Saccharomyces cerevisiae S288C: one gene and its partners. The gene in region 1 interacts genetically with each later gene. Each region holds a gene or a part of one and is shown in the gene's direction. Other genes may lie near its edges.

The links.
Region 2: mutations in ILV3 (region 1) and POS5 together harm fitness more than expected from each alone (negative genetic interaction), as found in Saccharomyces cerevisiae (one large-scale study listed by BioGRID).
Region 3: mutations in ILV3 (region 1) and PSP1 together harm fitness more than expected from each alone (negative genetic interaction), as found in Saccharomyces cerevisiae (one large-scale study listed by BioGRID).
Region 4: mutations in ILV3 (region 1) and SKN1 together harm fitness more than expected from each alone (negative genetic interaction), as found in Saccharomyces cerevisiae (one large-scale study listed by BioGRID).

The regions. Positions count from the first base shown.
Region 1 is NC_001142.9:462,286-470,165, reverse strand, and holds ILV3 (dihydroxy-acid dehydratase ILV3), read left to right. Parts: upstream 1-3,957; coding exon 3,958-5,715; downstream 5,716-7,880. Other genes in the region: U4/U6-U5 snRNP complex subunit LSM8, read right to left, coding at 53-382; REC107 (Rec107p), read left to right, coding at 587-902, 983-1,611; TES1 (palmitoyl-CoA hydrolase), read left to right, coding at 1,885-2,934; peptidylprolyl isomerase ESS1, read left to right, coding at 3,133-3,645; YJR015W (uncharacterized protein), read right to left, coding at 5,913-7,445; TMA22 (Tma22p), read right to left, coding at 7,741-7,880. UniProt on the Saccharomyces cerevisiae protein: Dihydroxyacid dehydratase that catalyzes the third step in the common pathway leading to biosynthesis of branched-chain amino acids.
Region 2 is NC_001148.4:187,559-194,858, forward strand, and holds POS5 (NADH kinase), read left to right. Parts: upstream 1-3,847; coding exon 3,848-5,092; downstream 5,093-7,300. Other genes in the region: NAB3 (Nab3p), read right to left, coding at 1-167; COA2 (Coa2p), read right to left, coding at 749-955; GUP2 (putative O-acyltransferase), read left to right, coding at 1,596-3,425; MF(ALPHA)1 (Mf(Alpha)1p), read left to right, coding at 6,090-6,587; UIP4 (Uip4p), read right to left, coding at 6,954-7,300. UniProt on the Saccharomyces cerevisiae protein: Phosphorylates both NADH and NAD(+), with a twofold preference for NADH. Anti-oxidant factor and key source of the cellular reductant NADPH.
Region 3 is NC_001136.10:1,456,121-1,464,819, reverse strand, and holds PSP1 (Psp1p), read left to right. Parts: upstream 1-5,599; coding exon 5,600-8,125; downstream 8,126-8,699. Other genes in the region: protein kinase GIN4, read left to right, coding at 1-2,462; GMC1 (putative oxidoreductase), read left to right, coding at 3,266-5,092; SPG3 (Spg3p), read left to right, coding at 8,126-8,509. UniProt on the Saccharomyces cerevisiae protein: DNA polymerase alpha mutation suppressor.
Region 4 is NC_001139.9:770,886-779,497, forward strand, and holds SKN1 (beta-glucan synthesis-associated protein SKN1), read left to right. Parts: upstream 1-4,307; coding exon 4,308-6,623; downstream 6,624-8,612. Other genes in the region: VPS62 (Vps62p), read left to right, coding at 1-1,087; BTN2 (Btn2p), read left to right, coding at 1,569-2,801. UniProt on the Saccharomyces cerevisiae protein: Required for synthesis of the major beta-glucans of the yeast cell wall.

The DNA.
Region 1 (7,880 bases):
TATTATTATTATTATTATTATTATTATTATTATTACTATTATTGCAACTATATTATTTTGTCTTTGATTCGTACACTTTTTCCCATATTACATGCTCATTTTCGATTTTATTCTTGGTGTCCTTTAGCATTGGGACCTTCTTTTCGTCTATAGGAGCTAGACTGTCATCATTTTCTGCATCTATGAGGCCAACAAGAGCAATCTCGCTGCCTCGAAGTAACTGTGCCTTGCAGATGAATTCCTTGCTTATGCGGTTGAAAACATTGGTTATGAATAGATTAGTATTTTTGTCGAAGCCGTTTAGGCTTGCTATGAGGCATTCGCCGTCAACTTTGATTATAACAACTCTTTTATTTAAGTAGTCTTTCAAGGTGGCTGACATGGTGCACGATAGTGTGTTCTTCTTGTATGGTGTACTGTATGCAGCTTGCTGGTCCATCTTATAAGAACCACGTAAGATTAGTTTTTTTTTTTCCCTTTACGCCATGATAGTATTTTCAGGACTTAAAGGGAAAATCAACAAGAACAGAAAGAAGGAAAACAAGCAAAACAAGGATACTGCAGACGTGTAGAAACATTTAGTAAAATGGTCGCTAGAGGTAGAACAGACGAGATATCTACAGATGTTTCAGAGGCTAATTCTGAACACTCGTTGATGATTACAGAAACATCATCACCGTTCAGATCTATATTCTCCCACAGTGGGAAAGTAGCGAATGCAGGCGCTTTAGAGGAATCGGACAAGCAGATACTGGAATGGGCAGGTAAACTGGAATTGGAGAGTATGGAGCTGAGGGAAAACTCTGACAAGCTAATTAAAGTTTTAAATGAAAATTCTAAGACATTATGTAAATCGCTAAACAAGTTTAACCAGCTACTGGAACAAGATGCTGCTACGAACGGTTCGTACCAACACAGTGCATACCCTCAAGTTTTTTATTCATTTTCTTCCAAAACACATTTACTAACAACTGTAGTATAGGAAACGTGAAAACCTTAATAAAGGATTTGGCTTCCCAGATTGAAAACCAACTGGACAAAGTGTCAACAGCAATGTTATCGAAAGGCGACGAGAAGAAGACAAAGTCGGATTCCAGCTACAGGCAGGTATTAGTCGAAGAAATAAGCAGGTATAATTCCAAGATAACGCGACACGTAACTAACAAGCAGCATGAGACGGAAAAGTCGATGAGGTGCACCCAGGAGATGCTCTTCAACGTCGGCAGCCAACTGGAGGACGTGCATAAAGTGCTCCTGTCTCTATCCAAAGACATGCACAGTCTACAAACCCGCCAGACTGCTCTAGAGATGGCGTTTCGAGAAAAGGCAGATCACGCCTACGATCGCCCGGATGTGTCTCTGAATGGCACCACACTCCTGCACGATATGGACGAAGCCCACGATAAGCAGCGTAAGAAGTCCGTGCCGCCACCAAGAATGATGGTCACAAGGTCCATGAAACGCAGAAGATCCAGCTCCCCAACCCTATCCACCAGCCAAAACCACAATAGCGAAGACAATGATGACGCTAGCCATCGGCTGAAGCGTGCGGCCAGGACCATTATTCCCTGGGAGGAACTAAGACCCGACACTCTGGAATCTGAGCTGTGAAACGGGCGTCCTGCTTTTTCATTCTACACAGGCATATGTAACAGCAGTGTATAGGCTATGTAAATCGGCCCAATCAACAAACAAGCGTTGCTTATTGGACTTGCTACTACCCCAACAAAGGAGAGAGCCTTTGATTGCATCCTCGGAAGAGACGGCATAAACACCGAGCCTCATCCTACAATGAAAAACCACGCCAGTTGGATATAAACCAGAAAAGGGTTTCAATTCAGTATCCACCATGAGCAAGACAAGATAAGACAAGATTGCATAAAAATGAGTGCTTCCAAAATGGCCATGTCCAACCTAGAGAAAATATTGGAACTGGTTCCTCTTTCGCCTACCAGTTTTGTCACAAAGTATCTGCCTGCCGCGCCCGTAGGGTCTAAGGGCACTTTTGGTGGAACGCTGGTATCACAATCGCTGCTGGCGTCATTGCATACTGTGCCATTGAACTTCTTCCCCACATCGCTACATTCGTATTTCATCAAGGGTGGTGATCCGCGGACCAAGATCACGTACCATGTGCAGAATCTGAGAAACGGTAGAAATTTCATCCATAAGCAGGTTAGTGCTTATCAGCACGACAAGTTGATATTTACGTCGATGATCTTATTTGCCGTGCAACGGTCCAAGGAGCACGACTCCTTGCAGCACTGGGAGACGATTCCAGGCCTGCAAGGTAAGCAGCCAGACCCTCATCGTTATGAAGAGGCCACTTCGCTTTTCCAGAAAGAAGTTCTGGACCCACAGAAATTGAGCAGGTATGCCTCATTGTCCGACAGGTTCCAAGACGCAACCTCGATGAGCAAGTATGTGGATGCGTTTCAATACGGAGTCATGGAGTACCAATTCCCCAAGGACATGTTCTACTCGGCAAGACACACCGACGAGCTGGATTATTTCGTCAAAGTGAGACCTCCCATCACTACCGTGGAGCACGCGGGCGACGAGTCTTCTTTACACAAGCATCATCCGTACAGGATCCCGAAGAGCATTACTCCTGAGAACGACGCTCGCTACAACTACGTGGCCTTTGCGTATCTGTCCGATTCCTACCTCCTACTCACGATCCCGTACTTCCACAACCTGCCTTTGTACTGCCACAGTTTCAGTGTCTCGCTCGACCACACGATTTACTTTCACCAGTTGCCTCATGTGAACAATTGGATCTATCTTAAGATTTCGAATCCCAGGTCCCACTGGGACAAGCACCTCGTACAGGGCAAGTATTTCGACACACAGTCGGGACGCATCATGGCAAGCGTCTCTCAGGAGGGCTACGTTGTCTACGGGTCAGAACGAGACATTCGAGCCAAGTTCTGAGGACAATTCCCTCCCACGTATAAACACATACATATATATTCTTATATTATATAATAATATCCTATTTATTATTACATCACCTTTCACGAGCGGGTATCATACCTTTTTCCCTTCGATCTAAGTAGAAAAAGGACCTGAATGATCATTGTGGTACTTATTCCCACGCATAACCGACTACGGCACCACAACGACGCACCAATGCCATCTGACGTAGCATCGAGGACCGGGCTGCCAACCCCGTGGACCGTCAGGTATAGTAAGTCCAAGAAAAGAGAGTATTTTTTCAATCCAGAGACGAAGCACTCGCAATGGGAGGAGCCTGAGGGCACCAACAAGGACCAGCTACACAAGCACTTAAGAGACCATCCAGTGCGTGTAAGATGCCTGCACATTCTCATCAAGCACAAGGATTCAAGAAGACCCGCATCGCATAGATCCGAGAACATTACGATATCCAAGCAAGACGCTACGGACGAACTGAAAACCTTAATCACGAGGTTGGATGACGACTCTAAGACGAACTCCTTCGAGGCCCTGGCTAAAGAGAGATCAGATTGCTCTTCATACAAGCGAGGCGGCGACCTCGGCTGGTTCGGGAGAGGCGAGATGCAGCCTAGCTTTGAAGACGCTGCCTTCCAGCTCAAGGTCGGCGAGGTAAGCGATATCGTTGAATCAGGAAGCGGTGTTCATGTGATCAAGCGGGTAGGTTAGGTTGGCATTTGCTTCTCCACCTCACCTTTTTATGTTCTTATTCCCTCTTGTATCCATTCCGTCCTCGCTGAACCCATGAAAAGAAAAAAAATTAACTAGTCACATAGTTAAATGGCGCTGTTCTTCGCTGCGAGCGGAACCGGGCCTGAAAAAAAATTTTCTCTTTTCCTCTCCAGATGACTCAGTAATATAGTAGTATATTATATAATGTAACAAAAGAAGAGACTGAAGTTTTATTATGCATTGTAGCGCCTGTAATCTTTAGTAACGGATTCTTGTATTTTTTTGTAAACAGCCAAGAAAAAAGTAGAGATGGGCTTGTTAACGAAAGTTGCTACATCTAGACAATTCTCTACAACGAGATGCGTTGCAAAGAAGCTCAACAAGTACTCGTATATCATCACTGAACCTAAGGGCCAAGGTGCGTCCCAGGCCATGCTTTATGCCACCGGTTTCAAGAAGGAAGATTTCAAGAAGCCTCAAGTCGGGGTTGGTTCCTGTTGGTGGTCCGGTAACCCATGTAACATGCATCTATTGGACTTGAATAACAGATGTTCTCAATCCATTGAAAAAGCGGGTTTGAAAGCTATGCAGTTCAACACCATCGGTGTTTCAGACGGTATCTCTATGGGTACTAAAGGTATGAGATACTCGTTACAAAGTAGAGAAATCATTGCAGACTCCTTTGAAACCATCATGATGGCACAACACTACGATGCTAACATCGCCATCCCATCATGTGACAAAAACATGCCCGGTGTCATGATGGCCATGGGTAGACATAACAGACCTTCCATCATGGTATATGGTGGTACTATCTTGCCCGGTCATCCAACATGTGGTTCTTCGAAGATCTCTAAAAACATCGATATCGTCTCTGCGTTCCAATCCTACGGTGAATATATTTCCAAGCAATTCACTGAAGAAGAAAGAGAAGATGTTGTGGAACATGCATGCCCAGGTCCTGGTTCTTGTGGTGGTATGTATACTGCCAACACAATGGCTTCTGCCGCTGAAGTGCTAGGTTTGACCATTCCAAACTCCTCTTCCTTCCCAGCCGTTTCCAAGGAGAAGTTAGCTGAGTGTGACAACATTGGTGAATACATCAAGAAGACAATGGAATTGGGTATTTTACCTCGTGATATCCTCACAAAAGAGGCTTTTGAAAACGCCATTACTTATGTCGTTGCAACCGGTGGGTCCACTAATGCTGTTTTGCATTTGGTGGCTGTTGCTCACTCTGCGGGTGTCAAGTTGTCACCAGATGATTTCCAAAGAATCAGTGATACTACACCATTGATCGGTGACTTCAAACCTTCTGGTAAATACGTCATGGCCGATTTGATTAACGTTGGTGGTACCCAATCTGTGATTAAGTATCTATATGAAAACAACATGTTGCACGGTAACACAATGACTGTTACCGGTGACACTTTGGCAGAACGTGCAAAGAAAGCACCAAGCCTACCTGAAGGACAAGAGATTATTAAGCCACTCTCCCACCCAATCAAGGCCAACGGTCACTTGCAAATTCTGTACGGTTCATTGGCACCAGGTGGAGCTGTGGGTAAAATTACCGGTAAGGAAGGTACTTACTTCAAGGGTAGAGCACGTGTGTTCGAAGAGGAAGGTGCCTTTATTGAAGCCTTGGAAAGAGGTGAAATCAAGAAGGGTGAAAAAACCGTTGTTGTTATCAGATATGAAGGTCCAAGAGGTGCACCAGGTATGCCTGAAATGCTAAAGCCTTCCTCTGCTCTGATGGGTTACGGTTTGGGTAAAGATGTTGCATTGTTGACTGATGGTAGATTCTCTGGTGGTTCTCACGGGTTCTTAATCGGCCACATTGTTCCCGAAGCCGCTGAAGGTGGTCCTATCGGGTTGGTCAGAGACGGCGATGAGATTATCATTGATGCTGATAATAACAAGATTGACCTATTAGTCTCTGATAAGGAAATGGCTCAACGTAAACAAAGTTGGGTTGCACCTCCACCTCGTTACACAAGAGGTACTCTATCCAAGTATGCTAAGTTGGTTTCCAACGCTTCCAACGGTTGTGTTTTAGATGCTTGATGCATTATAGGCCCCAATCGATGAATATATATATAGAGATTCTCCTTTTCCATCATCTTTTTTGTTCGCAATCTTTTCATATATATATATATATAAATATTTATTATAGTCCATTGAATGGATAAACATTTATTTAAAAAAAAACAACGATCAGTATTTTTTTATTTGAAAAGTCGCCTTAATTATAATCTACGAAATTAACTCTGCTTTGCTGCCACTAAAGCCTTCTGTTTTAGTTTTCTACTAGCATACTTGCCAACAAATGGTAACAGTGCCGTATTCAAGGCAATGAGTGCGACTAAAATACCATAATTCCGACCCATCTTGCGTCTTGTCACGTCAAAAAAAATAACCCTGTAGATATCGATGACGTTGTGAACGGGCATCATGTACCCATATCTATAAACATTATTGTTTAGCGCTAATGGGAAGAAAGAAGGTGCAATATTGAGAATGACAAATGATAGGATCCAGAACCCGAGATACTGGGGTCCTAACGTAATAACAAGCATAACCGCATTTTCGTTAGCTCCTCCCGCAGCAAGCATGAAGAGCCACGTAGACATCCAATATACGACGAAGCCACCTCTACCAAAGGACTTGGTAAAATCGACTTGAAAGATGGCGGTTGTTGTGCAGAAGAACAAAGACGCAAAGAAAAAGGTGAACCATGACATAGCGATACGGTAAATTAAACCGTTGGCTGGTCTTAGCACTTTTGCCATTTCTACGTGTAATGGGCCGTACAATAGAAATTGGAAAAAAGTTAGCAGTAAACAGTAAACAACACCGATTTGTGTGGGTGCCAGTAGAATACGGTCTGTGAATGGTCTGTGGTCATAGTATTCGTAGTTATATTTACCTGCTGCAGCGATATACCTTGCATTGTTAGTTAGTGCATAACGATATACCTGGGTTATGTTTGTCAATAACGGCGGCAGATAATTTAGTGTGTAGAATGTATGGTAGTACTCTTCAATGGTCTGAGCAACCGGTAAAATCGTTGATTTTAGGTTTGTCGGGTCTCTACCAGTTTCATATACCACCTGATTAAACAGCGTAGAATTGAATAGTGGTGCGGTATCGTTGATTAGTGATTCAAATAGAGTCTCCGTGGCGTTTGGCTTGATATTAATGGCAAACCAGTATTTTTCGTCGTAAACCAAATCGACAACCTTGTCATTGACTTGCTGTGGCGTATTTACGTCGAACTTGGCCTGGAAGGTAGGACTGTTATAAATATCCCAATCACATGGTATTTTATTGATAAAAGTAGGCAAAGCATACGATATGGAGGGCACTACCATGGAACTGTTATTATCCAAAATTACCACAGGGGGTTCCTGGATAACAACCAGAAGCTTAACTTTGTGTAGATACTTGCTGGTGTCGTAAAGAGCCCCCCAGAACAACACAAACATTGTAAAGCAAATTATGGCCAGTAAGCAATTTGTGAAAACAAACTTTAAAAGAACTTTCTTCCTTTGACCCTGTAGATTAGGAGAAAAAAATGAGCCACTCGAAGGAGGAAACGCTTTCTTATCCTCGGAATTTGGCTCAGGGTCCTTCGAAGAATCCGTTGTTTGACCATCCATGTCTGGCACACCTTGTGAGACAGCATCACCGACCACGCTGGAAAGGTCATGTATATCGTTGCGTCTGCAATATTCCTCGTCCGCTTCCATATTATTATATGCTGTTGGTTCTATATCATCTAGAGATGAAGTCATAACTATACTTACTTACGGCTGGATTGAGTTGTGTTTTGTACGCCTATGGTCAACAACAAATTTTGCAGTTTTTCGGTTGCAAATAATTTGAATAGGCAATGGGGACTATATTTATTGTCCTACTACGAAGGTTTCAGAGAAGGAACGGCGCAGGCGCACGAGGGCCGGCTGCACAGTATATATGAGCGACGATCTCAAGAACGATATAGGGTTTGACTATCTAACCTACACGCCTGGTTACCAAGTAAAAAGTCCTTTTCTCCCAGAACGGTGCTATTACATATTTATGGATTGCTTACTTGGCAGCTCCTTCTGCAGCAGGCTTTTTCTTCTTCTTAGCATCGATGGTTTCCACTTTGACGTCCTTTAGGCCTTTTTCTTCCAGCAAGGAATGTATGTAAGTTTCCACTTCATCCATCACGTCACCTTGAATGA
Region 2 (7,300 bases), on another chromosome or scaffold:
TTTTCCTCCTCCCTTTCGGCTTCTCTTTCTTCCTCTGGGGCGTCAAATTCGATTCCATCGTCTGCGCTTGAGTTATTCATCAATTCATTCTCGTTAGAGTTACTATCGACGGATAGTTCAGGTGAAGGAATATCTTGAACATCACTGTTATGGTTTTCATCTGACATGGCTTGCAGATGGTTATTATATTATGAAAGGACAGTCCGGGAAAAACGTAAGTCAATTATTATATTTTGACCAAAGAAAATCGCTTGTTGCTGTGCAGAATCTAATAAAGATGCTCAAGATAGCTTTTATTAGACCTTCATTTAGAAGTGGCAAAATCAAATGAATTGTTTTTTGTCCTTTGCTTCTTCCGCTTCATTTTCTCTTCAACAATTCAGGGTTACACTCAATCACGTGGGATACCATAATTTATCGTTCTACAAAAAAATGCAAGCACGAACTAGGGCGGTAGTTAGGAAGCGAATAAGAATAGCGCTTTTTCGTTTCAATTTGGAATATTAAAGAGTGATATTATTAATGGTTTTCTTTTTTGGAATGTGATCTATATACATATTTAAATAGTCTCTTTTGTATTTGTGGTGTCATAATGAAACTGCATCACACCAGATGCTTACCCATACAGAAAGTCGATTGATTATGAAACTTGAAGTAGCGAAGATTACGGCACTCGAAAATAAATAAAAAGAGGAAATAAAAGAGATAGAATACAACTTATCAAAAGTTCCAGATAGCCCGTACCTGTTTAAATCTTTTTACTTAAAGCATCCTTCCTCTTTAACTCCTGCTCATGAGCAAGCTGAAGCTTGTGTTGCTGTACAGCTGGTGAATCAGAATCCACTGAATGTGCTGGACATGGCAGCACAGAACCGATGGCCACTGATGCGAATGCAATGAGAAATGTAGAAAAGTATAGGTTATTGACTATTTTGTTTCTAGTGACTGCTCTCATGATATGTGTCTGAATTAAACTAATTGGCCTTCCGTGCCTGTAAATTCAATAAATAAATAGGATGTTAAATTTTCCTAATGTGTCTCGAGGTGCTTATGTTATCGTGCAAGCGCTGAGTTCGAAACGCTGTTTTGATGAATATCCTATATATATCAAAAGTACAAACACGGGGAAAGAGAGCCATCCCATCAAAAAAAATAAAAAAAGAAAACCCTTGCAGAAGGAGAACTGGTGTAGAGGTTTCCGGTCTTAATGGACTTAAGCACGTGACTTTTAAAACCCATGCATCGGTTACTATGGTTACCATTACTTACGATTTTTTTTTTTTCGTTATGAACCCTGTGCCCGAGGGGTTTTCAGGCACATAGATCAAAGTTCTACTCGTTTACCTGTAATCTTGGCGCGTTTAGGTCTCTTTTTTTTTCTTTTTTTTTTCTTCTTTTTTCATTTGTACTGCGTTATAGTTGTTTATGGAAGGTACCAATGGTGAATATGGAAAAAATGAAGTCAAATAGAAGAAGAAAGAGAAGCTAGCTTTGAGGTAGGTACTGTTTTGAGGGTTTTTGGGTGCTTCAAATTTGTCTTCTCAACTACCTTATTATAGGGCTCAAAAATAATTGACGTCATCGCTACAAGTCAGATGTCGATGTTAAGAATCTGGAGTTGCATCGTACATTTCTTTTCCGTGCAGGCACTTGATTCACGAATAAAGCCAGACATTGAATTCAAAAGGCGACAAAGGATATTTATCAATTCATCTAAAGAAGAGAATGGTTCATCTTCTAGTGCCGTTACTGTTACCCGTAACCCTGTGCTCAGCTCTAATAGCCCATCTCCTCCGCTATGGAATACATGGGAATTTAGACTATATTATTTGGCGTTCACCGTAGTAGTTCCTTTCATGATAAAGGCGGCATTGGCTACGAGCTCCGAGTCTAATCCAAACTACTATAAATTCAGCGGACTGCTAGCCCATGGTTGGATTCTGGGCCGCAAAGTGGATAACAGCGATCCTCAGTATAGGTTTTTTAGATCCAATTTTTTTTTGTTGGCCATCTTAATATTACTACAAATTATATTAAAAAAGGTTTTTGTTAAATTTAGTAAAATTCCGAAAACAAAATTCGATTTTGCGTGTGGATTAGTTTTTGTCTGTTTCATGTACGGGATCAATTCTGTTAAGCTCTTTACGCATGCTTTTATTTTCTTCACTTTGGCACATTCGCTAAAGAGAAAGCGTTTGATAGCCGCTTTTGCGATTTGGTCCTATGGTATCTTTACACTATTCATCAATCAAAAAATGAAAAATCTCCCCTTTAATAATATTGCTATCATCCTAAGTCCCATGGATCAATGGTATAAGGGTATCGTTCCTCGATGGGATTTTTTTTTCAATTTTACATTATTGCGTTTGTTAAGTTACTCCATGGATTTTTTGGAAAGATGGCATGAACAATTGAGCCGCCAACCTTCGATAGATTACGATGATAGACGACCTGAATTCAGAAAAAGTTTATCTGGTTCTACTCTACAAACCATTTATGAGTCAGGTAAGAATGTTCTGGAGGAAAAGGAACGACTGGTAGCAGAACATCACATCCAGGATTACAACTTTATCAATTTTATCGCTTATATTACTTACGCGCCATTGTTTTTAGTGGGCCCAATTATCACTTTTAATGACTACCTTTATCAATCAGAAAATAAGCTTCCTTCGCTAACGAAAAAAAACATAGGCTTCTATGCCCTCAAAGTATTTTCGAGTTTGCTTTTGATGGAAATTATCCTACATTATATCTATGTGGGTGCAATAGCAAGGACCAAGGCATGGAACAATGATACACCCTTGCAACAGGCTATGATCGCGCTGTTCAACTTGAACATTATGTATTTAAAACTTTTGATCCCATGGAGGCTCTTTCGGCTGTGGGCCATGGTCGATGGTATTGATGCACCTGAAAATATGCTACGATGTGTGGATAATAATTATAGTACAGTGGGATTCTGGAGAGCCTGGCATACAAGTTTTAACAAGTGGGTAATCCGTTACATCTATGTTCCATTTGGCGGGTCCAATAACAAAATATTAACGAGCTTTGCCGTATTCTCATTTGTAGCAATATGGCATGACATCCAATTACGAGTGTTGTTTTGGGGGTGGTTAACAGTCCTTTTATTATTAGGCGAAACCTACATTACTAACTGTTTTAGTAGATATAGATTCAGAAGCTGGTACAGGTTTGTTTGCGGTATCGGTGCTGCAATAAATATTTGCATGATGATGATTATTAATGTCTATGGATTTTGCTTGGGTGCAGAGGGAACGAAGCTTCTATTGAAGGGCATATTTAACAATTCACATAGTCCGGAGTTTTTGACTGCGGTAATGGTAAGCCTATTTATTGCTGTTCAGGTAATGTTTGAGATTAGAGAAGAAGAAAAAAGACATGGCATCAACTTGAAATGTTGATCTAGTTATTAGATAAGCTATGAAAGTCAATCCTTTTAATCGAGAATGTAAATATGTGGAATACACAATTTTAACCAAAGTACTATATATGCGTTACAAGTAATTTAAATTTAAGTTCACCGAAGTAAAACTAACTGCAAGATTGTTACAAAGAACAATGCACTATTTAAATCACACAATGGCTATTGAAAACTGTAACTGTCAGAAATGCTGCATGTATCTATATGCATCACTAAGTTGCGACTTTTAAGAAACTTCCACAGTTCTCAACTCTTCTTTGTGCTTTTCACACATTTTCACAATTTTCCGAAATCTCCAAATTGAAAAAAAAATAAAAATAAAAAAAGGCAGGAGAAGACTAAGTATTCATTATTCGCTGTTTCATAAATAAAAGGATAAAAAGGTTAAGGATACTGATTAAAATGTTTGTCAGGGTTAAATTGAATAAACCAGTAAAATGGTATAGGTTCTATAGTACGTTGGATTCACATTCCCTAAAGTTACAGAGCGGCTCGAAGTTTGTAAAAATAAAGCCAGTAAATAACTTGAGGAGTAGTTCATCAGCAGATTTCGTGTCCCCACCAAATTCCAAATTACAATCTTTAATCTGGCAGAACCCTTTACAAAATGTTTATATAACTAAAAAACCATGGACTCCATCCACAAGAGAAGCGATGGTTGAATTCATAACTCATTTACATGAGTCATACCCCGAGGTGAACGTCATTGTTCAACCCGATGTGGCAGAAGAAATTTCCCAGGATTTCAAATCTCCTTTGGAGAATGATCCCAACCGACCTCATATACTTTATACTGGTCCTGAACAAGATATCGTAAACAGAACAGACTTATTGGTGACATTGGGAGGTGATGGGACTATTTTACACGGCGTATCAATGTTCGGAAATACGCAAGTTCCTCCGGTTTTAGCATTTGCTCTGGGCACTCTGGGCTTTCTATCACCGTTTGATTTTAAGGAGCATAAAAAGGTCTTTCAGGAAGTAATCAGCTCTAGAGCCAAATGTTTGCATAGAACACGGCTAGAATGTCATTTGAAAAAAAAGGATAGCAACTCATCTATTGTGACCCATGCTATGAATGACATATTCTTACATAGGGGTAATTCCCCTCATCTCACTAACCTGGACATTTTCATTGATGGGGAATTTTTGACAAGAACGACAGCAGATGGTGTTGCATTGGCCACTCCAACGGGTTCCACAGCATATTCATTATCAGCAGGTGGATCTATTGTTTCCCCATTAGTCCCTGCTATTTTAATGACACCAATTTGTCCTCGCTCTTTGTCATTCCGACCACTGATTTTGCCTCATTCATCCCACATTAGGATAAAGATAGGTTCCAAATTGAACCAAAAACCAGTCAACAGTGTGGTAAAACTTTCTGTTGATGGTATTCCTCAACAGGATTTAGATGTTGGTGATGAAATTTATGTTATAAATGAGGTCGGCACTATATACATAGATGGTACTCAGCTTCCGACGACAAGAAAAACTGAAAATGACTTTAATAATTCAAAAAAGCCTAAAAGGTCAGGGATTTATTGTGTCGCCAAGACCGAGAATGACTGGATTAGAGGAATCAATGAACTTTTAGGATTCAATTCTAGCTTTAGGCTGACCAAGAGACAGACTGATAATGATTAAACGCTCTGAATGCAAAGATTCAATGAGATTCTCTAAGAATTCTATTGATAAGATTTAAAGGTATTTGACAAGTAGAGATCTTTATTTTTTCTTGCATTTTGTCTAGAGAAATCTCAACTGACATACTCGACATGAAATTTTTGGTATTGTGTCTTTTATTCTATTGCTTTAAGAAAACTGTGACATATAGGGAAGACATGCTTAACAAGAAGATATAATTATATAATATATATATTATTAATAATAACATCCTTACTGCAGTCCTGTTGTGGGAGAAAATGGAGAGAGACTATGTTTCGTATCAATTCCTAAAATCAAAAAAAAAAAAAAAAAAAAGTTAAACAAGCACTCGCTGTTCATTTGTTTTACAAGTATTCATACTCTAATAGGTCATTGAGCTTCTTTTCTTGAGGAGAGATCCAATTTGAAGTCGGAATAAGATTTGCTTTCATTAGCGTAGGCAATAATTATGAGATAAATGGTGCAGCACTATTAAGTAGTGTGGATTTCAATAATTTCCGAATTAGGAATAAATGCGCTAAATAGACATCCCGTTCTCTTTGGTAATCTGCATAATTCTGATGCAATATCCAACAACTATTTGTGCAATTATTTAACAAAATCCAATTAACTTTCCTAATTAGTCCTTCAATAGAACATCTGTATTCCTTTTTTTTATGAACACCTTCCTAATTAGGCCATCAACGACAGTAAATTTTGCCGAATTTAATAGCTTCTACTGAAAAACAGTGGACCATGTGAAAAGATGCATCTCATTTATCAAACACATAATATTCAAGTGAGCCTTACTTCAATTGTATTGAAGTGCAAGAAAACCAAAAAGCAACAACAGGTTTTGGATAAGTACATATATAAGAGGGCCTTTTGTTCCCATCAAAAATGTTACTGTTCTTACGATTCATTTACGATTCAAGAATAGTTCAAACAAGAAGATTACAAACTATCAATTTCATACACAATATAAACGATTAAAAGAATGAGATTTCCTTCAATTTTTACTGCAGTTTTATTCGCAGCATCCTCCGCATTAGCTGCTCCAGTCAACACTACAACAGAAGATGAAACGGCACAAATTCCGGCTGAAGCTGTCATCGGTTACTTAGATTTAGAAGGGGATTTCGATGTTGCTGTTTTGCCATTTTCCAACAGCACAAATAACGGGTTATTGTTTATAAATACTACTATTGCCAGCATTGCTGCTAAAGAAGAAGGGGTATCTTTGGATAAAAGAGAGGCTGAAGCTTGGCATTGGTTGCAACTAAAACCTGGCCAACCAATGTACAAGAGAGAAGCCGAAGCTGAAGCTTGGCATTGGCTGCAACTAAAGCCTGGCCAACCAATGTACAAAAGAGAAGCCGACGCTGAAGCTTGGCATTGGCTGCAACTAAAGCCTGGCCAACCAATGTACAAAAGAGAAGCCGACGCTGAAGCTTGGCATTGGTTGCAGTTAAAACCCGGCCAACCAATGTACTAAGCCCGACTGATAACAACAGTGTAGATGTAACAAAGTCGACTTTGTTCCCACTGTACTTTTAGCTCGTACAAAATACAATATACTTTTCATTTCTCCGTAAACAACATGTTTTCCCATGTAATATCCTTTTCTATTTTTCGTTCCGTTACCAACTTTACACATACTTTATATAGCTATTCACTTCTATACACTAAAAAACTAAGACAATTTTAATTTTGCTGCCTGCCATATTTCAATTTGTTATAAATTCCTATAATTTATCCTATTAGTAGCTAAAAAAAGATGAATGTGAATCGAATCCTAAGAGAATTCAACAGCGTAAAATACAAAGAGGATAACGACAACGAAAAAAAATACACTCCCTGATTATGATGCCTCTGAGCTTGACATTTTCGTTGTCAACCAAGAAAACCATGAGCCAAAAAAGCGTCCTAACGCTCCCAGTAGCTTTTTCAAAACACTTTCATAATCTTCAGTATTGGCATCGCCTTCTTTTACAATTGACTTAGCGTTTTGATCGGCGGGTTTATCTATTTTCTGTATTTCTTCTTGTTCGGACATATCCGTATTTTCAGTATCAGAACCGTTGATCTCATGTTCTGATTCTTGCGTGTCGGTGACGTCTGTATCTTCATTAACTCTTGTGTTATCATTATCATTACCTTCAGATAGATTGTCTAAACCTTTGTCCTGTTTATTCTCTGTCTGTTCCT
Region 3 (8,699 bases), on another chromosome or scaffold:
CTACGATTTTGCAAAATTTAGTAATATTATGGCATGGAAGAGATCCTGAAGGAATTAAGGAAAAACTAAGAGAACCTGGCGCTAATGCAGAAAAGACATTATATGCACTACTGTATAGATTTAAGTGTGACACTCAAAAAGAGCTTATTAAGCAACAGCAAGTTAAGAAGAGGCAGTCAATTAGTAGCGTTTCTGTTTCCCCATCTAAAAAAGTATCGACAACTCCACAACGCAGAAGAAATAGAGAATCTTTAATTAGTGTAACATCTTCTCGTAAAAAGCCAATATCCTTCAACAAATTCACTGCCTCCAGTGCCTCCTCCAGCAATCTAACTACACCCGGTTCTTCAAAACGCCTTTCAAAAAACTTCTCTTCAAAGAAGAAATTATCTACAATCGTTAACCAATCTTCTCCAACACCAGCATCACGTAATAAAAGAGCTTCGGTTATAAATGTGGAAAAGAATCAAAAAAGAGCCTCTATCTTTTCTACTACCAAGAAGAACAAAAGATCTTCTAGATCTATCAAGAGAATGTCATTGATACCAAGCATGAAACGTGAATCGGTGACAACAAAATTAATGTCAACATATGCGAAATTGGCAGAGGATGACGATTGGGAATACATTGAGAAGGAAACAAAGAGAACGAGCTCAAATTTTGCAACTTTGATAGATGAAATTTTTGAGTACGAAAAGTACGAACAAATAAGGAAAGAGAAGGAAGAGCTAGAACGTAAAGTGAGAGAAGCAAAAGCACGTGAAGAGCTGGAACGTAGAAGACGTAAACAAGAAGAAAAAGAACGTGCAAGAAAATTACTAGAAAAGGAAGATCTGAAAAGAAAACAGGAGGAACTCAAGAAGCAAATTGAAATTGATATAAGTGATCTAGAGCAAGAGCTGTCCAAACACAAAGAGGAAAAACTGGATGGTAATATTAGATCTATCTCTGCTCCTATGGAAAATGAAGAGAAAAATATCAATCATTTGGAGGTTGATATTGACAATATTCTCCGTCGCCGCAACTTTTCTTTACAAACTAGACCTGTGTCAAGGCTTGATCCGGGTATAATGTTCTCCAGTCCAACTGAGGAAGTAAGTCCAGTGGAACCAAAGAGAACAGAAAATGAAAGACTTACAACAGAAAAGAAAATTTTAGAAACTATCAGAAGATCAAAATTCTTGGGTTCATCATTTAATATCGATAAAGAGTTGAAATTGTCTAAAATGGAATATCCAAGTATAATTGCACCACAAAGATTGTCAGAGGAGCGAGTGGTGTCAGATTCTAATGATGGATATGAATCTTTGATCCTCCCGAAGGATGGGAATGGCGTATCTCAATTAAAGGATAGTACCGCAACAACTGCTCCCGTCTCTGATGGTAGGTTGAGGAAGATCTCTGAAATTAGAGTACCACAATTTACTAGAAAATCAAGGCATTTTAGTGAGTCCAATAAAAGGCTATCTGTCCTGTCGATGTACTCTACCAAGGAGTCGTTTACCAACTTGGTTGATATTTTGAAAAACGGTAACCTTGATGTCAATAACCAACAAAGCCAAAGAATTCCAACACCAAGAAGTGCGGATGATTCAGAATTTCTTTTTGAAACTGTCAACGAAGAAGCTGAATATACAGGAAATAGTTCGAACGATGAGAGATTGTACGATGTCGGTGATTCCACTATCAAAGACAAATCCGCGTTAAAGCTGAACTTTGCAGATCGTTTTAATGGATCGAACGAAGCGAAACAAACTGATAACTTACATCTTCCGATCCTTCCTCCGCTTAATGGTGACAATGAATTGCGTAAACAGAATAGCCAAGAGGGTGACCAGGCACATCCAAAGATTAAATCGATGATACCAGAATCAGGCTCTTCTTCACATACTGAAAAGGAAGAAGAAAATGAGGAAAAGGAAGAGAAAAAGCCAGAACAACACAAACAAGAAGAGGATCAAGAAAAAAGAGAGAAAGTAGTAGATGATATGGAGCCACCATTGAACAAATCTGTGCAAAAAATTAGGGAAAAAAATGCTGGCTCGCAGGCAAAGGATCATTCAAAAGATCACTTAAAAGAGCATAAGCAGGATAAAAATACAGCAATTGGAAATGGTTCCTTCTTTAGAAAATTCTCAAAATCTTCGGACAAAACAATGGAATTGTATGCCAAGATTTCTGCAAAACAATTGTTTAATGGTTTAGAGAAGCTGTTGCGTGGTTGGACTCAGTATGGTTTAAAAAATATAAAATCGCACCCCAACAATCTGACCTTAACGGGTAAACTATCGAGTGATAATATATTCTCACTACGTTCAACACTCTTTGAGGTTAATATTTATCCGAGAGGTAAGATGAGCGTTGTGCAGTTCAAGAAAGTTTCTGGTTCATTCAAAGCTGTCAAAAAGTTGGTCAATGAAGTTGAGAACGTCCTGAATAAGGAAGGCGTTCTACAAAAATAGTGCTAATGTAATGCAATCATGTTTTGTCTCCTTCGTTTTGTTCTGCCATAATATTTCGCTCATATTATTTTTGCTTATTTTTTCCCCTCCGTATTAATACTTTAAATAACAATCTAATGGAGGTACTGGACTCTATGTACTATTATATTTACCCTTAAAATATCGTGTTGATTACTATTTGTATAACCGTTTGTTTTTCTAACTATATATGAAAGAAAAGTAGTTATAGTTATAGTAGTTGAAGATTTAAAAGCTATTTGCCCTCTTTGGGATTAAAGTAAGAGCTAAACATAAATTATGTAACAGTTTAATTTTCCGAACATTAATTGTTGTTAAAGGCTTTAATATCAAGTATACTGAATATGCTAGAAGTTCCACTCAAGCATATAAGAATATCTGCCTAAATTATTATTTATCACTACAACTTGGCTACAAATTATGAACAATGAGGCCGACAAGAAGTTACTCTCTTAAAAAATGGGATATGATATATACAAACATATGATACAAAAATTTCAACAAATAAGTGGTTGTTTGGCCGAGCGGTCTAAGGCGCCTGATTCAAGAAAAAATCTTGACCGCAGTGAACTGTGGGAATACTCAGGTATCGTAAGATGCAAGAGTTCGAATCTCTTAGCAACCAATATTTTTTAGTTTACATTTTTTTCGGGGATAGTCATAGAGGATCCACCTTCATCTCAGCTGTCCACATTAAGGCCAAAGCTAATAAAGTGGCACATACTGGGCGGTTAAACAAAGTTATTAAGTAATTATTGCAAAACTCCGTGGACAACTTGTTTAGAATGAAGGTCATTCTCCTTAAGCCGGTTCAGTTGCCAATGCTACTCTTAATACTATTAAAATTTATTATGGCCGCTAAGGAAGGCAAAATACATGTCTTAGAATTCAATGCGAGCAGTGAATACACGCTTGATAAGAGAAGAGTTATCTCCATAAATGGCTACAGCGCTACATTTGGCCCAGAAATTCGAGTTAAATCCGGTGACACTCTTAACTTGAAATTGACTAACTGGATATGTTCAGAAGAAGAAGCTAGTAAAGACAGTGATGTTTGGAAGGATTACTGTTCAACAGCTTTACATTTTCATGGGGTGGTACCTTTAGCAAATGAATTTGATGGAATTCCAGGTTTAACACAGCCCACTATTGGATATGGAGAAAGTTATTGGTATAATTTTACCATTGATCAATCAACCTGTGGTACTTTTTGGTACCATTCGCATTCATCAGTACAATACGGTGACGGTATGAGAGGTGTTCTGATAGTTGAATGCGATGATTATGATAATCATGTGGCAAATACTATTAATTCTGTGAGAGACATAGAGACACTAGATGACGGTGTTGTTACAATGAAAAAAGATAAACACACGAAGGAATTGACGGATTATGAAGTTCAAGAAAGGATTATCACTTTGAGTGATTGGTATACCAATTGGAATTTGGACATTTTAAACGACAAGGTTTTGTCATCTACCGGGGGTACAGATCCCAAATTTGATGGATCATTAATAAATGGAAAATCATCTGACGGTGAAACTATCAAAATAGGATTTAACACCGAGTATCTTCTTTTGAGAATCGTAAACTCAGGAATGTCTGGTACTCAAGTCTTTCACCTTGATGGATTCCAATTAATTGTTCTAGAAGCCGACGGGATTATGATTAAACCGTTCATTGTACAAACGATAAATTTAGCGGTCGGACAAAGATATACAATTTTGGTCAAACTAAAGTCTGACACTAGTTTTATTCGTATGATTAATGGCTGTAACAAAATGATGGGTTATATAACAAAACAGTGGTGGTTTTACAAAGAAGGCGCTCATTTGGACCTACCAAAGAACCCCAATGACGTTTCCATCGAACACTTGCCTGGTTTCACTAAGGCCGAGCTTTATCGCGACATAGAACCAACGCAAGAAGAGAATAAAAAGTTACGCACAAAGGCTGATCCTGTTGCAGTTTTCGAATTCGATTATGCTTATTACAAAGATGAAAGCACGAAACAAAAGTATGGGACTGGGATGTATAAGGTGAACGAACGGACATTCAGCGAGTACGTAAAAGACCCGGTAAGGTTCGGATTCAACGAAACATATGATATTGTAATCAACTCACTGGACCACATGAGACACCCATGGCATATGCATGGCCATCACTTCCAGATAATATCTCTTGGCAATAAAGGTGATGGCCCATTTCACAAAGACGTACAAGAGGGCAAGGCATGGAGCCGCTATCAGAACGATTTACGTCACCTGGCCCGAACCGGAAAGGCACCGATGGTAAGGGATAGCATTAACATTGCAGGAAATTCTTACGCGGTTTTGAGAATTAACACCGAGATGCCCGGAAAATGGCTTTTACATTGTCATGTGGAGTGGCACATGATGAAGGGGCTTGGCATTGTCTTTGAGGTTCCGACAACAACCGAGGACAGTACCAAACAAGCAACTACAGCTGTATTATCGTACCCTACCAAGGAACCTGACCCTAACACTGTTGTCCATACAGCCGCACTTGAACAAAATAAGTCCAAGGTAATAGCCGTCTACATCCTAATCATGTGTGCGGTTGATGCTATCTTCTACTGGTTGCTCATGTAATCACATCCATTTCTCCCAACTCATTGCTTTTTTTCGCTTTTCCCACAGCCGTTTACAAGGCCGCAAAAAAGAAAACCCGCAAAGCTGACGGAAAAAGTATCGGCTAGCTTTCCATTGGCGACAATCGCCTCCGAGTGCGAAAACCTGTATTTCTCTGACTGCCGTAGGTCATATAGGATTGGGTCATAACGGTTTTTTGGAGACGAATCCTTCCCCTAATCGTGTTGGATAACATTACGGATCCGTGTTTTAGCTAAAGGAACAAAACAAAAATAAATAAAGGATAAGAAGAAGGATTCACTGATAATTAAGAGCTGTATTTTTCATTGGTTCGGCAGTTAGAAACAGAGATAGCATCAGTTCGAGTGTTCTTTGATATAGTAAACAGCGTATATAGAAAAGAATAAAGTGTATTGAAAGGCTCAAGAGAATTATAGAGAAAAAAACGAAGGATAAATCAAAAAAAGCGGTGTCTGATACAGTGCTCAATAGAAATACAGTTGCAAAATGGACCTCCCAACTGTTAATAGCACAACAAGCATTTCCGACAATGTGGATTTAAAGAACTACTATGAGGACTTGCTTTTCAAGAATAACAGCGGAAAATCGCTATCCGATTTACCCCGTAAACTGAATGATAACTCCAATAATTCAGGAAGTGATACGGTTGATCCGCTTGCTGGCCTGAATAATTTGAGAAACTCAATAAAAAGTGCGGGAAATGGTATGGAAAACAGGAGGACTTTTGACGATATTGATTTTATGGGTAGGTTTCCGTATTTGCCACCAGTGCCAAATCAACAACAGCAACCGTTTTCTCACCAGAACGGGTTCATTCAAGAACACCCTTCCAGTAATTTGACCTCTTTTCAAATGTCTTCGTCTAATTCAGAGCCGATGTCCGCACCGCCCATTTCATCCAATAACAATAATTTAAACTCTACTCAAATGGGTAATTATCAAGCTCAACAACGGTCGTTCCCGCAATTTAATGGAAATTCATTTCATTCAAATGGAAACGACCTAATGGGGAATCGGATGGATTCAGACTACATGCGTTTAATGAATAAAACAAACATAGGTTTTACTTCCAATAGCGGCAGCAATTTTGCTGCCCCATCACACAGTGCTGGCAACCCATCTAGTATGAACAACCAACAAGTACCATCATTTAATTGGCAACAGCCATCTCATCCAGAGTCTACCATTAGGAGATCCTCCTACATATCAGATACTCTAATCAACCATCAAATGCCTGACGCTCGGCAAAAGCAAACATCCCAAGTGCAGCAGCAACACGCTCAAGGTTTCAATCTTTTCAATAGCAGATTCAACTATGACAACTTGAACTCAACCCATTTGACCGCCAAAGGTGTGCCCGAGTTTGGAAATGGTGTACAACCTCCGTATCCTTATGATAACGAGCCTAATAATGCCAGTATCAGCAATAGTAATAACAACAACAACAGTCACAATATGGTTCCAATGCAACAGTTTCGCCGGAATACACAACCGGTAGCGAGCTTCAATCCATCCCTTCCTACTTTTCAACAACAACAGCAACAACCACAACAACCACAACAACCAAGAAACGTTAATGTACCTACTTCTTTCAATGGCGAACGTGTTGATGATGTTCAGCTTGTTCAACTTCAAAGAAGCAGTTCTGTCCCTTCTTCTACAAACTCACATAACCTTCAGAACGAGAACAGCAATGAAGGAAATGTATCTTTGGACAATGGTTTAGTTTTAATTCAGGGTAAACACTTGACTTCGTCCAAAACCTTACACGATTTATACAGCGACTGTGGCAGCGGCTATTTTGCTAGCTCTGCAGTTTTTGAATTCACAGATAATATTAAGAAAATGCTGAAGTTGCACGATTCTAATGAAAGTTACGACGCGAAGAACATGGGCTTAATCGATGAAGAAGGTAATACATACCAATCTTTATTAAATTTCTTGGACATTTTAAGAAGTTGCAACATGAATTACGTTAATGATCCAGAGTCGAATAATGGAATTGTTTCCAATAATGGAGGCAATAAAAATAGGAGGAAGGGCTCTTTCACAACAGAACTATCATGCAGGAATGCTAATAACTCCTTTTTACCTTATACACCATTGGTACTGGTTGCTTTGAAAAATGGGAAACTTGAACTACTATCTACTCCACAAGCTACCAATTTGTTGTTAAAGAGAGGTGACTTGGTTATTATTGATGGTGACCGTGGAAGGGATTTAGTATTGGTTGTTGAGCCCTCTGTCGATTTGAATTTAGCATTATTTATAAATTTTCTGAAAAAGAAAATTCACTTTGACTCTTTAATTACAAGTGAGTCACAGCACTATCGCAATGATGAGTTTATTCAAATGTTGATTGACTCAAAAAATGGGCAAAAGAAAAAATTAAATCCCAAATTGTATGATGTTGTTGAATTAACTGAGTTAATCATACCATCTAAACAAGTCTTACGTTTTGCCACCCCGTGGGAGGTAACAACGAATTTGCACAATAAATTTGAAGATGAATTAAAAGCCTTGCATATTGCTCAGAGTAAATTACAAGCGTTAAATGATAATTCAAAATCTCAAAATACAAATGACAGTTCTTCCAATAATTTTACGAATGCTGCAACTTATTCAAAGCCTAAATTGAATATCAAGATTTTAAACGCAGAATTCCAATTTGATAGAAAGAAATTAACGTTTTACTACGTTTGTGAGGAGAGAAATGATTTTAGAGACTTGATAAAAGAGCTGTTCAAATATTACAAGACAAGAATTTGGTTGTGTGCCATCCCGAATAATCTGTCTATTGATTCTAAGTATTATGATAAACAACAAAAAGAGCTGAAATTATATCAAAACATAGTAAAAAATTACAATGCTGAAGATTTAATGAATGTCAATGAGTTTTCGCAGAACAGGGGGAATAACAGAGTTAATTTTGCACCTCCGTTGAACGAAATTGAACTCGACAACTTTCAGATTGCTGTGTATGAAGAATTAGTTCACGAATTATTTCATTAAATGATCTGTTATTTCCTTGTTGTAACTATAAATTTTCTAAAAGAAAAGACAACCATTTGCCATTATTTTGTTAACATTTTTTCATTGTTTTTGTTTTTGTTTGTTTTTGTTTTTGTTTTTATTTTTGTCTACTTTTTTTATGTTATTTTGTTTTATCGTTTCTGTTCGTTGTTTACCTATTTTCCTGCCAATTCAATTTGGTACTATCTTTCTATTATCAATATTTTCTTTCCCTTATGTTTTTTTCTATATGAAAACTTCACAGGGAGAAATAGAAGAAAATGTTCATTATTCTGTTTAACTTTGATAAAAATTACTTATACGTCTCCCAATCATGGTTTCATGGTCACTGGTAAGGAAAAATTCGAAAAACTACGGGACTAAAAATTTTTTAAAGATTGTCCATATTCCTCGATCCACACTTTCAAGTTTGAGATTTATTGTTGGCAACTTTCTTACATTTTTGTTGTTTCAACTTCTATTTTATATTCTAACAGCCGCTTCCATTTATTTTTCATAGGCTTTATATAAAAAACAAAAAATAATGGAATCAACCAACCCTTATAAACTTATA
Region 4 (8,612 bases), on another chromosome or scaffold:
TGTTAAGGATTTTGTAAAAAGATTCCAGTTGAGAGACCACAGTGGGGAGAAAATTATCAATGAACACCTTCGTGACTTAAGTGACTTACAAGAGTATTATTCGGTAGAGTTAGAGAACGGAACGTGGGGCCGAGTATCCAGTGAAGGTACATATATGACAAGTTTAGATGATTTTGATAAGGGCCCTGACTGGTTGTTGGGTGAACAACCAGAATATGGTACAGGTCACATAAAGAAAGCACCAGCAGTTCTTTTTGTCGTTGACAAAGGAAATGGTTGGGTAGACGCGTTCTGGTTTTATTTCTACCCCTTCAATTGGGGTCCTTATATTATGGGCTCCGGACCATGGGGAAATCATGTAGGGGACTGGGAACATTCTTTAGTACGATTCTATAAAGGAGAACCACAATATCTATGGATGAGTGCGCATGGGGGTGGTAGTGCCTATAAGTTCGAAGCCATTGAGAAAATCAAAAGATTGCGTCGTGTTGACGGTAAATTGACAAACGAGGTTATTAAGAAGCCTTTAATATTTAGTGCAAGAGGCACACATGCACATTATGCATCAGTCGGTCAACATGCGCACGATGTTCCGTTTTTCTTTATGCCATTGAGTGACTTTACTGATAGAGGGCCATTATGGGATCCTTCTTTAAACTATTATGCCTATACAGTGACTGTGGGGGAAAAAATGACACCATGCGGCGCTGAAGAAACTAAAATGGGACTAGAATGGCTATCGTTCAAAGGCGCTTGGGGCGATAAACAATTAAGACCTAGGGATCCCAGACAAAAATGGTGCCCATTTCAATGGAAATATATTGACGGACCAAAAGGTCCACTATTCAAAAATATGGAAAGGGTTTCTTTATGCCAAAGATTTAAATGGTGGAATTTTTGGAAGGGCTGCCCGGCAAGAAGATATATAAAAAGAGGGGAAGGTTTGGATGCAGAAAAGAATGATCTTGTGGGTGACAATTGTGGTATCTTGCTGTACAACATAAGGCCAAAGTGGCTGCGTAGCATACTCCGTTTTTTGACGTGGAGGGGAAGCGTATGTTTCATTATGGACTACTTTACAGGGTAATGAATATTTGGGCGTTTTTCGCTATTTTAGCATGCTGTAGTGTATGTACTGTGCATCGTCATGTAGCACTATTTCAGCCGTATTTTTCTTTTTTTCTTTCGCACCGTCTGTGGTTGTAAAGTTACTGACACTTTTTTTTCTAGAAAGTTCCGGAAAATTGCGACACTCGGTGGAGCTCGAGAGTTGTATCCAGTTTTCTTGTTCGGCGATATTCCGAACCAGGTCGGGTTGGGCTAACAGCCGCCCAGGATGGAAGAATTAAGAATTTCATAGAAGCCTTCAGTTCTTGGCGAAGTAAAGTGGCAAAACAAATGGAAGATCTATTGCATTACATATATAAAAGCATTAGAACAATCTTTTCTCATTGACAGGTATTCTCATTGCTCTATATATATTTTCTTCTTCTTGAAAGAAATATCAGTATTACAATCATAACAACAACCAAAAGAAAATAACTAATAGACCCCATTACAATATAGAAATGTTTTCCATATTCAATTCACCATGTGTTTTTGAACAGCTGCCATCTTTTAGTCAGCCCCTACATTCGCGTTATTTTGATTGCAGTTCTCCAGTGAGCTATTATCCAGAATGTAAAAGGAGGAAAGCAATAAAAGCTAACCTAAGAGCTCCAAAAAAAAGCGATGCAAATTGTTCAGAACCTTTGAGGTATGCACTTGCTGAAACACCAAATGGTTATACATTAAGCTTGTCTAAGCGGATTCCATATGAACTTTTTTCAAAGTACGTTAATGAGAAATTAGGTGAGCTAAAGGAGAACCATTACAGACCAACTTACCATGTTGTCCAAGATTTTTTTGGAAACCAGTATTATGTTGAAGATGAAGCGGATGAAGATGCTCTATTGAGATCTGCATTGAAAGATCTGGATTTTAGAGCCATAGGAAAGAAAATTGCTAAGGATCTTTTCCAAGACTACGAAATAGAATTGAATCATAGAGGTGATGAATTGAGCATATTGAGTAAGAAGGATAAAATCTTTAAGGAATTCTCTCTAGACCAAGTGTTTGAAGATGTTTTTGTTATTGGCTGTGGAGTTGAAAACATAGATGATGGCTCGAGAGAAAAATATGCACTTTTAAAGATTGGTTTAGTTAAGCATGAGGAAGAAATTTCCGAAGGTGGCATCAACGAACCAAAGATGCCAATAATTGAATCCAAAATAGACGAGTCTCACGATGATGTTAACATGTCTGAATCTTTGAAGGAGGAAGAAGCGGAGAAAGCGAAAGAACCACTAACCAAAGAAGACCAAATAAAAAAATGGATAGAGGAAGAAAGATTGATGCAGGAGGAAAGCAGAAAATCAGAACAGGAAAAAGCTGCCAAGGAAGATGAAGAAAGGCAAAAGAAAGAGAAGGAAGCCAGATTGAAGGCAAGGAAAGAATCTTTGATAAATAAGCAAAAAACCAAGAGGTCCCAGCAAAAAAAATTGCAAAATTCCAAATCATTGCCTATCTCTGAGATTGAGGCCAGCAATAAAAATAATAATAGCAATTCTGGTTCAGCAGAAAGTGATAATGAAAGTATAAACAGTGATTCTGATACGACTTTGGATTTCTCTGTGTCTGGTAATACACTAAAAAAACACGCTTCACCCCTATTAGAAGACGTTGAGGATGAGGAAGTTGACAGATACAACGAGTCCCTAAGCAGATCTCCCAAGGGAAACTCTATTATTGAGGAGATATAATGGGTGATAATACATACTCCCCATCTTTCATTTTTACGGCATTAAATAACTAATTATATGCATCTTATATACTACTATAATTCACTGACTTTATGAAAGGAATATAAATCGGCACGGCAGAAGGCGGATTTATTTTGTTACAATATAACAAAATAAAAGGGCAACAGTAAAGTAGAAATTATTAGTATCCGTGATTTTAGTACAATTATTTGCTTCCTAGAAATCCGGTTTTCCATGTTAACATTTATGCTAGTATTTTATGGTGGAATGGCAAGTGATTCACAAAATACAAGCTACTTTATCGAATGATTGAAATTCATTTCTGCTTGAATAGAATTCAACTATCGTTTATCGATTCTATTTTGAGGATTCCTATACCCTCGAGGAGAACTTCTAGTATATTCTATATACCTAATATTACTACTGTTATTAACAATGGAATCCCAACAATTATCTCAAAATTCACCAATATCTCAATTCCATCTTTAGAAAAATTAAGTTCAAATTAACGGAAACAGTAATCAAGTAAAAGAGCTTTTTTTTTCTTCTCCCCTTCCTGCCCTGAAGATAATTGAGTAAATGTTACGTTGAGAATGGCTTTTTGATATTTCATTAGATTTACTTCATTATTCTTCTCTATTCTCCCCTTTCATCAATTAATTGGGCGTGTGGCGTAGTCGGTAGCGCGCTCCCTTAGCATGGGAGAGGTCTCCGGTTCGATTCCGGACTCGTCCAAATTTTTTTACTTTTAATGAGGTATACTGGAATATTACGGCTCTTTTTTTTTAGAAACATATTCCTCAAATGGGTAAACGGACCCTGGTGCAAGGTGTGGGTGCTGAGACAAATACGATCTGAGTTGTTTTAAAAAGGAAAACAAATGAATGCGTGCCCAAAGCGGAAAATTGGTCAACATCGATGCGTAATTAGTAGGCCCAGGTGAGCCTGTGCCGAACATGTATCTCTGCGCAGATTACTATATATTCCCGAGCATAACAGCATATAGTTTTCTTTCACATAGGCCTTCCTCCAACTGCCATCACTGTACATAGACGTTTCGGCACTGTATATTCTTGTCCCTTTTTTTTTGCCTACTACATTGCTGCATTCAAACGATATCGCTCTGCGAACCGTTTAAAACTGACCAAAATAGGGAGACCTACCTTCTAAGGAGAAAAAATTCGCATTGCTAAAAAAAAGCTAAAAGAGAAAGAGAAGAAGAATATTAAACCAGTATATTCTACTACAACTATCGATTTACTCCGACTACAAAGTGCCTCTTCGTATTTTCAGTCGCTCGAAAAAACAACCCATATTCCATTTGATTCTACGCAGCTGGTAGAAACTTTTACAGGTTTGATAAAATTATTACAATCGTTAGCGGTTACGCAAGGAATAGGAAATAAAGAAACGGTAAATAATAAGAAAAACACAGCAGATCTAAGCCTATTGCACACAGTATATTATAACCATTACTAGCTAGTGTTACATAAACAATAGCAGAATATGTCTGTGCGAAACCTCACCAATAATCGTCATTCCAACAGCGAAAATAGTGTTTCCGGAAGCGAAAACTCCTTTTATTCCTCGAATGAGCAATCAAGACAAAGCTCATCATTAGAACCTGCAGATGGTCAGAACGTTAGGGTGAGCGGTAATCCTTTCCTTGGAAGTGAAGAATTTGACGAAGATTATAATTCACCCAGTGGAGACGATGAGCGGCGTGGGGCAAATGAATATTCCAGTTCTTCATCCATAAATTATAATAACGATCCTAACAGCGATACTTCTCTTCTGGCTAATGAAAAGAACTCACCCGAGAGAAATGGTCAAAGAATGTCAGACTATAAGGGCTATTATGCTAAGACTAACCTAACTTCTGCTAATAACTTAAACAATCATAATAACAATAATTATAAGAACATTATAAGCAGTAGTAACGATAATAGTTTTGCATCACATTTACAGCCGCCGGACAGAAACTTACCGTCTCATCCTTCTTCAAATAATATGAGTAGCTTTTCTAACAACAGCTTAATTAAGTCTCCACCACCTTTTGACAGATATCCGCTAGTAGGAACGAGGCATATTTCAGCGGCTCAATCTCAGTCGCAGAACCTTATAAATGAAAAGAAAAGAGCGAATATGACTGGCTCATCTTCTTCTGCTCACGACTCTTCATTATCATCCACCAACTTATACATGGGCGAACAGGATTTTTCGCCCTTTGGCGGTTATCCAGCTTCCTTCTTTCCGTTAACGTTGGACGAAAAGGAAGACGATGACTACATTCATAATCCAAATGTCGAGGAAGAAGCAAAGTTAGATAGAAGGAGGTTCGTTGACGACTTCAAACACATGGATAGAAGATCTTTCTTGGGGCTTCTGGGTATTCTATTTTTATTTATGGCTGGTATATTTATTTTCATTGTATTACCTGCAATTACATTTTCCGGGGTAGTTTATCATCATGAACATGTTCATGCGGCAAATTCAGCAGGATCGTCGTCTTCTAATACTACATCCAAGTCATTGACTGAATATCAATATCCTCAACTTGCGGCTATAAGGACAACTTTAGTTGATCCAGACACACCTGACAGTGCGAAGACAAGAGTAGCGAAAGATGGATCTAAATGGCAGCTGGTGTTTTCCGATGAATTTAATGCTGAAGGTAGGACCTTTTACGATGGCGATGACCAGTTTTGGACAGCTCCTGACATCCACTACGACGCTACGAAAGATCTTGAATGGTACTCACCAGATGCCGTTACAACTACAAATGGTACCTTGACGTTGAGAATGGATGCATTCAGAAACCATGACCTTTATTACAGATCTGGTATGGTACAGAGCTGGAACAAACTCTGCTTTACAGAAGGTGCGTTAGAAGTTTCCGCGAACCTCCCTAATTATGGTCGAGTTACAGGATTATGGCCTGGTATGTGGACCATGGGGAACTTGGGCAGACCAGGTTATTTGGCGAGTACTCAAGGTGTTTGGCCTTATTCATATGAAGCATGTGACGCTGGTATAACACCAAACCAAAGTTCCCCAGATGGTATTTCTTACTTGCCGGGACAAAAGTTGAGTGTTTGTACTTGTGATAATGAGGATCATCCAAATCAGGGAGTTGGAAGAGGCGCACCGGAAATAGATATTTTAGAAGGTGAAGCTGATACAATTTTGGGTGTTGGTGTTGCGTCACAATCTCTACAAATTGCTCCATTTGATATATGGTACATGCCCGATTATGACTTCATCGAAGTTTATAATTTCACCACAACAACTATGAATACTTACGCTGGTGGGCCTTTTCAACAAGCTGTCTCAGCAATATCCACTTTAAATGTAACATGGTATGAATTTGGGGAGGAAGCAGGTTATTTTCAAAAGTATGCCATTGAATATCTCAATGATGACGACAACGGATATATTCGTTGGTTTGTGGGAGAGAACCCTACTTTCACACTATATGCTACTTCTTTACATCCTAGTGGTAATATTGACTGGAGGAGAATAAGTAAGGAGCCAATGTCAGCGATTTTAAACTTAGGTATTTCCAACAACTGGGCCTATATCGACTGGCAATATATATTTTTCCCGGTGACAATGTCAATAGATTACGTCCGATTATACCAGCCGAAGGGTTCTACGTCCATTACTTGTGATCCTGAGGACTACCCGACATATGATTATATCCAAAGCCATCTAAATGCATATTATAACGCCAATTTAACTGATTGGGAACAGGCTGGATATACTTTCCCAAAAAATATTCTAACAGGAGGTTGTAGTAGTTCAAAATTCTCATTATCCTGAGGTTGATTTTTTTTTTTCAACTGGTTAAAACCTACTATCTAAGTGCGCTTTAATTCTAAGGAGGCAAAATAGTCTGCGGTCACAGTCGTTGAAAGTTCTAGATTTGGGTACGGAAGCAGCCATGTAAATGGTCTTCCTTTGTAATAATATCATCACTGGAGTTTTTAAATTAGAGTACGGATTCAAGTTAGCGAAAAATTTCTGTTGGTATCTGATAGCAATTTGTCGACAAGGTGGAGAGTTTTTGAAGTTTTTTTTTGTAACAGTTATGTTACACTATTTACCAGAGAAACACCAAGACAGGAGCCCTCAGAAGCTTTCGTGTTGTCAGAACATAAATATCTTCTATATGTTTTAATCTTTTATATTAATCAATATTTTATGTTAAATCATATTATTATTCGTTAATGGTTAACTTGCGCTATTTCAAAATTGGAAGGATAGTGTGGTTACAAGCGGTGTTTTTGATGTATGTTTACTGCTAAGAGTATACCGTCCTGTTTACTTTTTTACCTTTTGTTCCGTTATTGATTTTTCGCAGCAAGGTTGAAGCTTCAAATTTGAAAATGAAATTAAGACGTAGAGATGAAAAACAGCGATGAAATTACTTTTTATAGCTTCTTTCCCATCTGACTCCGTTTTATAAACAGGGGTTCTTTAAGGGCTTACAAATAAATATAAACACTAACACATATATATTATTCGACCTACAGTTTTTGCGACCAATGAAGTTTACCTATTTTGAGTTAGTGCTTACGTAGTTTGCTTAAGGTCAAGGTGGTATTAAGCTTGCGCTTTCTCTAAATAATATCATATGGTACAGACAGGGATAAGTACTTCATAATAAACCAATTGCTAGTCCAGTATTTTTGGTACCCTCTTACTGCCGCGAAATTCAACAACTTTTTAACTCGTGAAAGAGGTTAATATTATTATTCATTTTGCTAGAAATACTACTAAACACCCCATTAGGAAGCTGGTAAATTATGAAATCAGCAAAATAAGATCCAACCGGAACGAATTTATTAGAAGCTCAAACACAAGGGTTGATAGTGTGATAAAGGAAAGGGGTGACAACGTGTAGAGGGTAAAACTTATTGATTCCTTTTTGTGGATTCCTATACCCTACAAGAACACTGTTGGATATAGACATTATATGCAATATTAATTATGCGACTGATAGGCTTCGTAATTCCTGCTTGAGTAAAGACAAGAATTTTCATTTCTCATTAACTGTTTTTATTTATAACCTAGGAAAAAAAGGAGCTGAAAATTTGTTGGAATAAAAATCCACTATCTTATATCAACTAGTATTCCTAATGTCAGTATATTGTCATATAAGGCGTTAGATGGTGACATAAGGTATGAAAAGTTGCCATCGAAGTTAGAGGAAGCTGAAATGCAAGCATTGATGTAATAGGATCAATGAATATTAACATATAAAACGATGATAATAATATTTATAGAATTGTGTAGAATTACAGATTCCCTTTTATGGATTCCTAAATCCTTGAGGAGAACTTCTAGTATATCTACATACCTAATATTATAGCCTTAATCACAATGGAATCCCAACAATTACATCAGAACCCACACTCTCTTCAATTATTATGTAGAAATTTCGATTCTATTTTGAGGATTCCTATACCCTCGAGTAGAAATTCTAGTATATCCTACATACCTAACATTATTGCTTTATCAATAATGGAATCCCAACAATTATTGTTACAGGCTACGATATTGCGTATAGAAAAAATGTTGAAAGTTCTTCTGCAAGATACAGGAATCCAAAGGGAATCAATATATCTACCTAATAGTATTATTATTTCTTTTCCATTTTATATGTTTCACTATCCTACTATTTCATCGATCCTCTTATTTAAGCTTTTATTAAACCTAATGACTGTTCTATAACTTTTATGTCCTCTTTTTACATCATAAATGATAATTAATATACTAGTGACATGAATACTAATCGATGGATGGTAG